Macaca mulatta: one gene and its partner. The protein of the gene in region 1 interacts with the protein of each later gene in a pairwise test. Links are inferred from orthologs where the notes say so. Each region holds a gene or a part of one and is shown in the gene's direction. Other genes may lie near its edges.

The links.
Region 2: the proteins of SIAH2 (region 1) and USP19 interact in a two-hybrid assay, tested with the Homo sapiens proteins (2 studies listed by BioGRID). The link is inferred for Macaca mulatta from reciprocal best matches to the Homo sapiens genes SIAH2 and USP19.

Annotation. Positions count from the first base shown.
Region 1 is NC_133407.1:53,778,873-53,781,846, reverse strand, and holds the end of SIAH2 (E3 ubiquitin-protein ligase SIAH2), read left to right. Parts: intron 1-658; coding exon 659-1,216; 3' UTR 1,217-2,247; downstream 2,248-2,974. UniProt on the Homo sapiens protein: E3 ubiquitin-protein ligase that mediates ubiquitination and subsequent proteasomal degradation of target proteins.
Region 2 is NC_133407.1:112,547,902-112,551,719, reverse strand, and holds part of USP19 (ubiquitin carboxyl-terminal hydrolase 19), read left to right. Parts: intron 1-268; coding exon 269-379; intron 380-459; coding exon 460-561; intron 562-1,919; coding exon 1,920-2,060; intron 2,061-2,146; coding exon 2,147-2,265; intron 2,266-2,497; coding exon 2,498-2,635; intron 2,636-2,732; coding exon 2,733-3,046; intron 3,047-3,179; coding exon 3,180-3,290; intron 3,291-3,378; coding exon 3,379-3,595; intron 3,596-3,681; coding exon 3,682-3,818. UniProt on the Homo sapiens protein: Deubiquitinating enzyme that regulates the degradation of various proteins by removing ubiquitin moieties, thereby preventing their proteasomal degradation. Stabilizes RNF123, which promotes CDKN1B degradation and contributes to cell proliferation.

The DNA of each region.
Region 1 (2,974 bases):
AATATGGGCAAAGCCCCCCAGAGGGAAGATCAAAAGGATACAGTGGGGTAATATTTCTAGCAGTATGAAGGGGCCTCCAGGCCTCCGCTGCCCTAGCCTGGTCATGCCAGCAGCAAAGAGCAAGGAACCAAAGGGCAGCCTTCCCCACGGCCTGCCTGCCAGTCACCAGTTTGAGCCAGGAAGCAGTGGAGGGGGACAATAGAATTATACTGTTGTTCATATTGTCTGTATGTAAAAACTAATCTGGGGATAATATAATAATCCTTGCCCAACCCCATCCCTACCCCCAAGCAATTGAATTCTTTAAAAAACAGCTTCACCGAAAATATGAGGAAGACCAGATTTTACAGGGCTTACTCAACAATTTTGAGATGTGCATAGTAAGAGAACTTTAGTTCTTATCCTTTTGACAGCAGAACAGGGGGCATGGAAAACAGCATATTTCTGGTTCAGGAAAAGACCCTTGATTTTATGCATGACAGCATTGATGATGAGCAGAGACTGAGACTTTTAGTCTTGAATATTTCACTTGTTTTGAGCAAAAGTAGCCAAGACCAGTTTAAGGCCAGGAAAAGGGAGTAGTTAAGTACTCAGAGAGGGTTGAAGCAATAGAAGTTTTGAGAAGGCCCAATGGCTCAATGCATTTCTTTCTCTGCAGTATGCCACCACGGGCTGTTCCCTGACCCTGCACCATACGGAGAAACCAGAACATGAAGACATCTGTGAATACCGTCCCTACTCCTGCCCTTGTCCTGGTGCCTCCTGCAAGTGGCAGGGGTCCCTGGAAGCTGTGATGTCCCATCTCATGCATGCCCACAAGAGCATTACCACCCTCCAAGGAGAAGACATCGTCTTTCTAGCTACAGACATTAACTTGCCAGGGGCTGTCGACTGGGTGATGATGCAGTCATGTTTTGGCCATCACTTCATGCTGGTGCTGGAGAAACAAGAGAAGTACGAAGGCCACCAGCAGTTTTTTGCCATCGTCCTGCTCATTGGCACCCGCAAGCAAGCTGAGAACTTTGCCTATAGACTGGAGTTGAATGGGAACCGGCGGAGATTGACCTGGGAGGCCACACCCCGGTCGATTCATGACGGTGTGGCTGCGGCCATCATGAACAGCGACTGCCTTGTTTTCGACACAGCCATAGCACATCTTTTTGCAGATAATGGGAACCTTGGAATCAATGTGACTATTTCTACATGTTGTCCATGATGTGACTTTCGTAAACCATCAAAATTATTTGGGCATAGTGCTCTATGTTTAATAAAGGTTTTTATAGATGTTTTATTCCATATGTCTTCACAAGTCAGGACCCACAATTACCCGTGTTTTGTTTGAACAGCAGTTTCCCATCTGGCTTCAACCCAACAAAGTTCATTAACCTGGGATGAATGGGGTTGGCCTGTTGGTAATTTGGAGGCTGTTCTGTGATCTAAAACAACTCTTATTAAATTGTATTTACTCCCTAAACAACACTTGACAGGCTGTTGCACAGGGCTTCTATAGATCAGTGTGTCAGGAATGGGAGGCCCCTTCCTGCCTGCCTTCGCGTATTGGTCCCTTGACATTGACAAAAGCACAGTGACTGTCAGCAGATTCCTTTACTTTTGTTTGTGGGATGTAGGAATTGTTTTAATGCATTTTAAACAGTGTTTCTCAAATAGGATGGCTGGCTAATAGACACTGAATCACCCGGAGTGCTTATCTTAAAATTGCAGATTTAGGGAGCCTGCCAATTTAACAGTCTCATCAGGTGATTCTTTTCAGCAGTAATGTTTGAGAATTACTGGGTTAAATTGTGGGAAAGGGTCCAGATTTTAAAGGTGCTTTAAGGTTGCCCTCTGCCGATACTGTTTGTCTTTCTACTGTTTCATCCCCTAACCTCCCCCAACCCTCAAATTAAAACTAGTAGAACTATAGATCCACATGAACACACGCCTGAGATTTGGTCACTCACCTATGTTTTGGGTGGATTGCCTAGGAAAGAAAGTCATATGGCCATTGATAGTTCTCATGTAATTAGTTTTGCTCACCACTAGTACAGATGACCCGTTTACACATGGCTTCCCTCGGAAGCCCTCGTCGACAGTAGCTGGTGTGAAAGACGAGGTCAGTAGAGTTGGAAAAGCTTTATAACCGGTGTGTCATATGCTTGCTATTTAAAGCTGTGTGTTGGTTTTGTTTTTCTGCCACATTCACTAGTTTTTTAATAAATATTTTCCAAAAATGGATGTTGTGCTTCATTTCCCTAATTGAATAACGGGTATTTATTGAGCATCTACTGTGTGCAATTCATGTAGTGAACCTTCATCACTACATCTGGGGTTGGAACTTTCACTGTTTCCACTGTGGAAACAGTCACTGGGCCAAGTCATGGCGTGGGTCCATGACAGCACTGGGGTCCGGGCTCACGTGTCTGAACCACTGAATGTCAGTGCAGCAGGTCTCCTCCCAGGGCTGTCGTTTCTATCTGATGGTGCCAGTAGCTGTGCAAGAAGAGGATTGCTCCTGCTTTACAGAGTCAGAAGGAAGACGCTTGGCCAGTGCTGACATCCAGAGTGCTAGGGTTGATCCATGGTGACCCACTGCCTCAGTCCCAACCCTAAACTCTCAAAAGAATTGAGAGGATTAGGGCCAAATGCTCAGCAAGGATTGAAGGCTGCTTACTTCAGTGTCCCAGTTTCCCTTTTTTGTTGTTGTTGTTGTTTTTGTTTTTGAGACGGAGGCTGGAGTGCAATGGCATGATCTCAGCTCACTGCAACCTCTGCCTCTGGGTTCAAGCAATTCTCCTGCCTCAGCCTCCCGAGTAACTGGGCCTAGAGGCCTATGCCACCCCACCCGGCTAATCTTTGTATTTTTAGTAGAGATGAGGTTTCACCATGTTGGCCAGACTGGTCTCGAACTCCTGACCTCAAGTGATCCACTTGCCTCAGCCTCCCAAAGTGCTGGGATTAAGGCGTGAGCCACCAT
Region 2 (3,818 bases), about 59 Mb from region 1:
GTTGTGGCAGGGTTGTGGGCACATGGGGTGCAAGTGTGAGGCAAATTCGTAAAGTGGCTAAGCTGAGTAGGGCTTTGAGTGCCAGAAAGGAGGATTGTTATCTCCTGGTGGTCCTCCTGCCCCATCTAGTGTCCTGAAGCCTGAGAGTTTGCTGGTTGGCTGTGGAGGCCTTGAGAGCCATCAGAAGCCCTGGAATGGGCTCTTTGGGCATGAACATTTTGTCTCCCACTCTGTGTGCAGCTACCCAGTGCCACCTCTACATCCACAGGTCTCCATCACTTTTGACCCGTTTCTTTATCTGCCGGTGCCCTTGCCACAAAAGCAAAAGGTTCTCCCTGTCTTTTATTTCGCCCGAGAGCCCCACAGCAAGCCCATTAAGGTGAGGAGTAAGCCCCTACCCTCTGGGCTGTTCTAGAGAACGTGGCCCACCTCCCTCACTGACTGCCCTTTTTGCCACAGTTCCTAGTGAGCGTCAGCAAGGAGAACTCCACTGCCAGTGAAGTATTGGACTCCCTCTCTCAAAGCGTTCGTGTGAAGCCTGAGAATCTGCGTTTGGCGGAGGTACCTTTGTCTTTCTTTGGGCTATTATATATATGGATATGTGTGTGTACTCACCATAGACACGTGTGTATAGTCATTGGCATCTACAGACATACACATGGGCTGGGCACAGTGGCTCACGCCTGTAATCCCAGCACTTTGTGAGGCTGAGGTGGGCAGATCACTTGAGCCCAGGAGTTTGGGACCAGCCTGGGCAACTTGGTGGAACACTGTCTCTACAAGAAATTAAAAAAGCAGCTGGGCGTGGTGGTACATGCTTATAGTGCCAGCTACTTGGGAGGCTGAGGCAAGAGGCTCACTTGAGCCCGGGAGGTGGAGGTTGCAGTGAGCAGAGATTGCACCACAGCACTCCAGCCTGGGTGACAGAGTGAGACTCTGTCTCAAAAATAAATAAATAGATAAAAAATAAAAATAGGGCTGGGCATGGTGGCTCATGCCTGTAATCCCAGCCCTTTGGGAGGACAAGGTGGGTGGATCACGAGGTCAGGAGATCCAGACCATCCTGGCTAACATGGTGAAACCCCACCTCTACTAAAAATACAAAAAAAAAAAAAATTAGCTGGGCATGTTGGCACATGTCTGTAGTCCCAGCTACTCAGGAGGCTGAGGCAGGAGAATCGCTTGAACCTGGGAGGCAGAGGTTGTAGTGAGCCGAGATCGCGCCACTGCACTCCAGCCTGGGCGACAGAGCAAGACTCAAAAATAAAAATAAAATAAAAATAGACATACAAATGAGTATGCCTGTGACTGTACAAAAACAGGTGATGTGCTGTTATTTTGTCTGTGCAACAGAAGTGCCTTCAGTTTCTAGCCATTATCAGGGTTTATTCCCCTTTGTGGTGGTGGATCCCAACTGCATTTCCCTTTTTAGACAAGGAGCTTGAACTGCAGGACTATACCTATGTTCGCTCTGCTTCTCCCTCTATCCTGCTGCTCTCTCCTTTTATCCCAGTTGTGTGTGCTAGCTCTCCCCAGGGGTTCCTAGCCTTTAGCCTGACAGTGTCGATTTTCTCAGGGGTAAGAGTTGGGAGGAGGCTCTTTGAATATGGACCCTCCGTGATAGTATGTTACAGTCTTATAAGGCTATTCTAGTTATAGCAGGGCAGAGTCCCTCAGTGTGGAGAGCTGGTGTGGTTGATATCTGCCTCATACCCGGTCTTTCAGGCCCTCTGATGCATCAGGCTCCGTATGGCATTGGACACTGAGATGGGTGCCAGTAGAGGCTAAGCCTCTTTGGGCCTACAGACCTCACCACTGCCCACATAGACCCACGGACGGGCCAAGCCTTCTTAAACTCTGGGGCAGGGCTAGGGAAAGGGCTTATCCTCATGTGGGATCTGTGTGTTCTGTGTCCTCAGGTAATTAAGAATCGTTTCCATCGTGTGTTCCTGCCCTCCCACTCACTGGACACTGTGTCCCCATCTGATATGCTCCTCTGCTTTGAGCTGTTATCCCCAGAGTTGGCTAAGGAGCGGGTAGTGGTGCTAGAGGTGCAACAGGTGAGTGGGGGCCAACCTGATGGCATAGGGCCCCGGTGGGTGGGGTACTCCTGCCTGGTCTTGCTGAGCCAGACGACCCACCCTAGCGCCCCCAGGTGCCCAGCGTCCCCATCTCCAAGTGTGCAGCCTGCCAGCGGAAGCAACAGTCGGAGGATGAAAAGCTGAAGCGCTGTACCCGGTGCTACCGTGTGGGCTACTGCAACCAGTGAGGACCCCCATCGTCTCCCCGACCCTTTATTTCCACCTTCCATGTGCCACCCTGCCCCTTCCCTTCACACCAAGGCACATGTGCTTAAGCTTTCTACTTGCCTACTTCACCAGGTTCTGGGGGAGGCAGGGCTGGCATACCCAGTTCCCAGGGACTATGACTAGCCCCCATTATGGAGTTATAGGAGATGGGGCTAAAGGCCTTATCCTTGTCTTCCTCTTCCCCTCAGGCTCTGCCAGAAAACCCACTGGCCTGACCACAAGGGCCTCTGCCGACCTGAGAACATTGGCTACCCCTTCCTGGTCAGTGTACCTGCCTCACGCCTCACTTATGCCCGCCTTGCTCAGCTGCTAGAGGGCTATGCCCGGTAAGTGCCTAGTGGTTGGACTAGAGTGGTGTAGGTGGGAGCAGAGGTGCTAGATGGGCTGGTCAGGAGTCCTACTTGCCTTGCTCTCTGTTGCCAGGTACTCTGTGAGTGTGTTCCAGCCACCCTTTCAGCCTGGCCGCATGGCCTTGGAGTCTCAGAGCCCTGGCTGCACCACACTGCTCTCCACTGGCTCCCTGGAGGCTGGGGACAGTGAGAGGGACCCCATTCAGCCACCTGAGCTCCAGCTGGTGACCCCTATGGCTGAGGGGGACACAGGGCTTCCCCGGGTGTGGGCAGCCCCTGACCGGGGTCCTGTGCCCAGCACCAGTGGAATTTCTTCTGAGATACTGGCCAGTGGGCCCACTGAGGTTGGCTCCTTGCCTGCTGGCGAGAGGGTGTCCCGACCCGAAGGTAAGATCCAGTGAAAAGCTCTGGGAGCTGGGGAGGAAGGTAGGGGAGGATGGGGGGGCTGTTGTTTAGGACCTCGTGGGCCTGGTGAGGCCCTGATGGGCAGGGAAGCTTTGATTATCATGTTCTCACACAGCCGCTGTGCCTGGGTACCAGCACCCAAGTGAAGCTATGAATGCCCACACACCACAGTTCTTCATCTATAAAATTGACTCATCCAACCGAGAGCAGCGGCTAGAGGACAAAGGTGTCTGAGGCCGTGGGTGAGAGCCATGGGGTGGGTTGAGCTGGCTGTTCTCCACAGCTGCATGACCTCTCTCCCTGCCAATCTCCAGGAGACACCCCACTGGAGCTGGGTGACGATTGTAGCCTGGCTCTCGTCTGGAGGAACAATGAGCGTTTGCAGGAGTTTGTGTTGGTAGCCTCCAAGGAGCTGGAATGTGCTGAGGATCCAGGCTCTGCCGGTGAGGCTGCCCGGGCCGGCCACTTCACCCTGGACCAGTGCCTCAACCTCTTCACACGGCCTGAGGTGCTGGCACCCGAGGAGGCCTGGTGAGAACAGAGCAGCAAGCAGATAAGGGGGCAGGACGGAGAAGAGAGAGACTTGCTGGTCCTGACCCAACCTCTGTTCCCACCAGGTACTGCCCACAGTGCAAACAGCACCGTGAGGCCTCCAAGCAGCTGTTGCTATGGCGCCTGCCAAATGTTCTCATCGTGCAGCTCAAGCGCTTCTCCTTTCGTAGTTTTATCTGGCGTGACAAGATCAATGACTTGG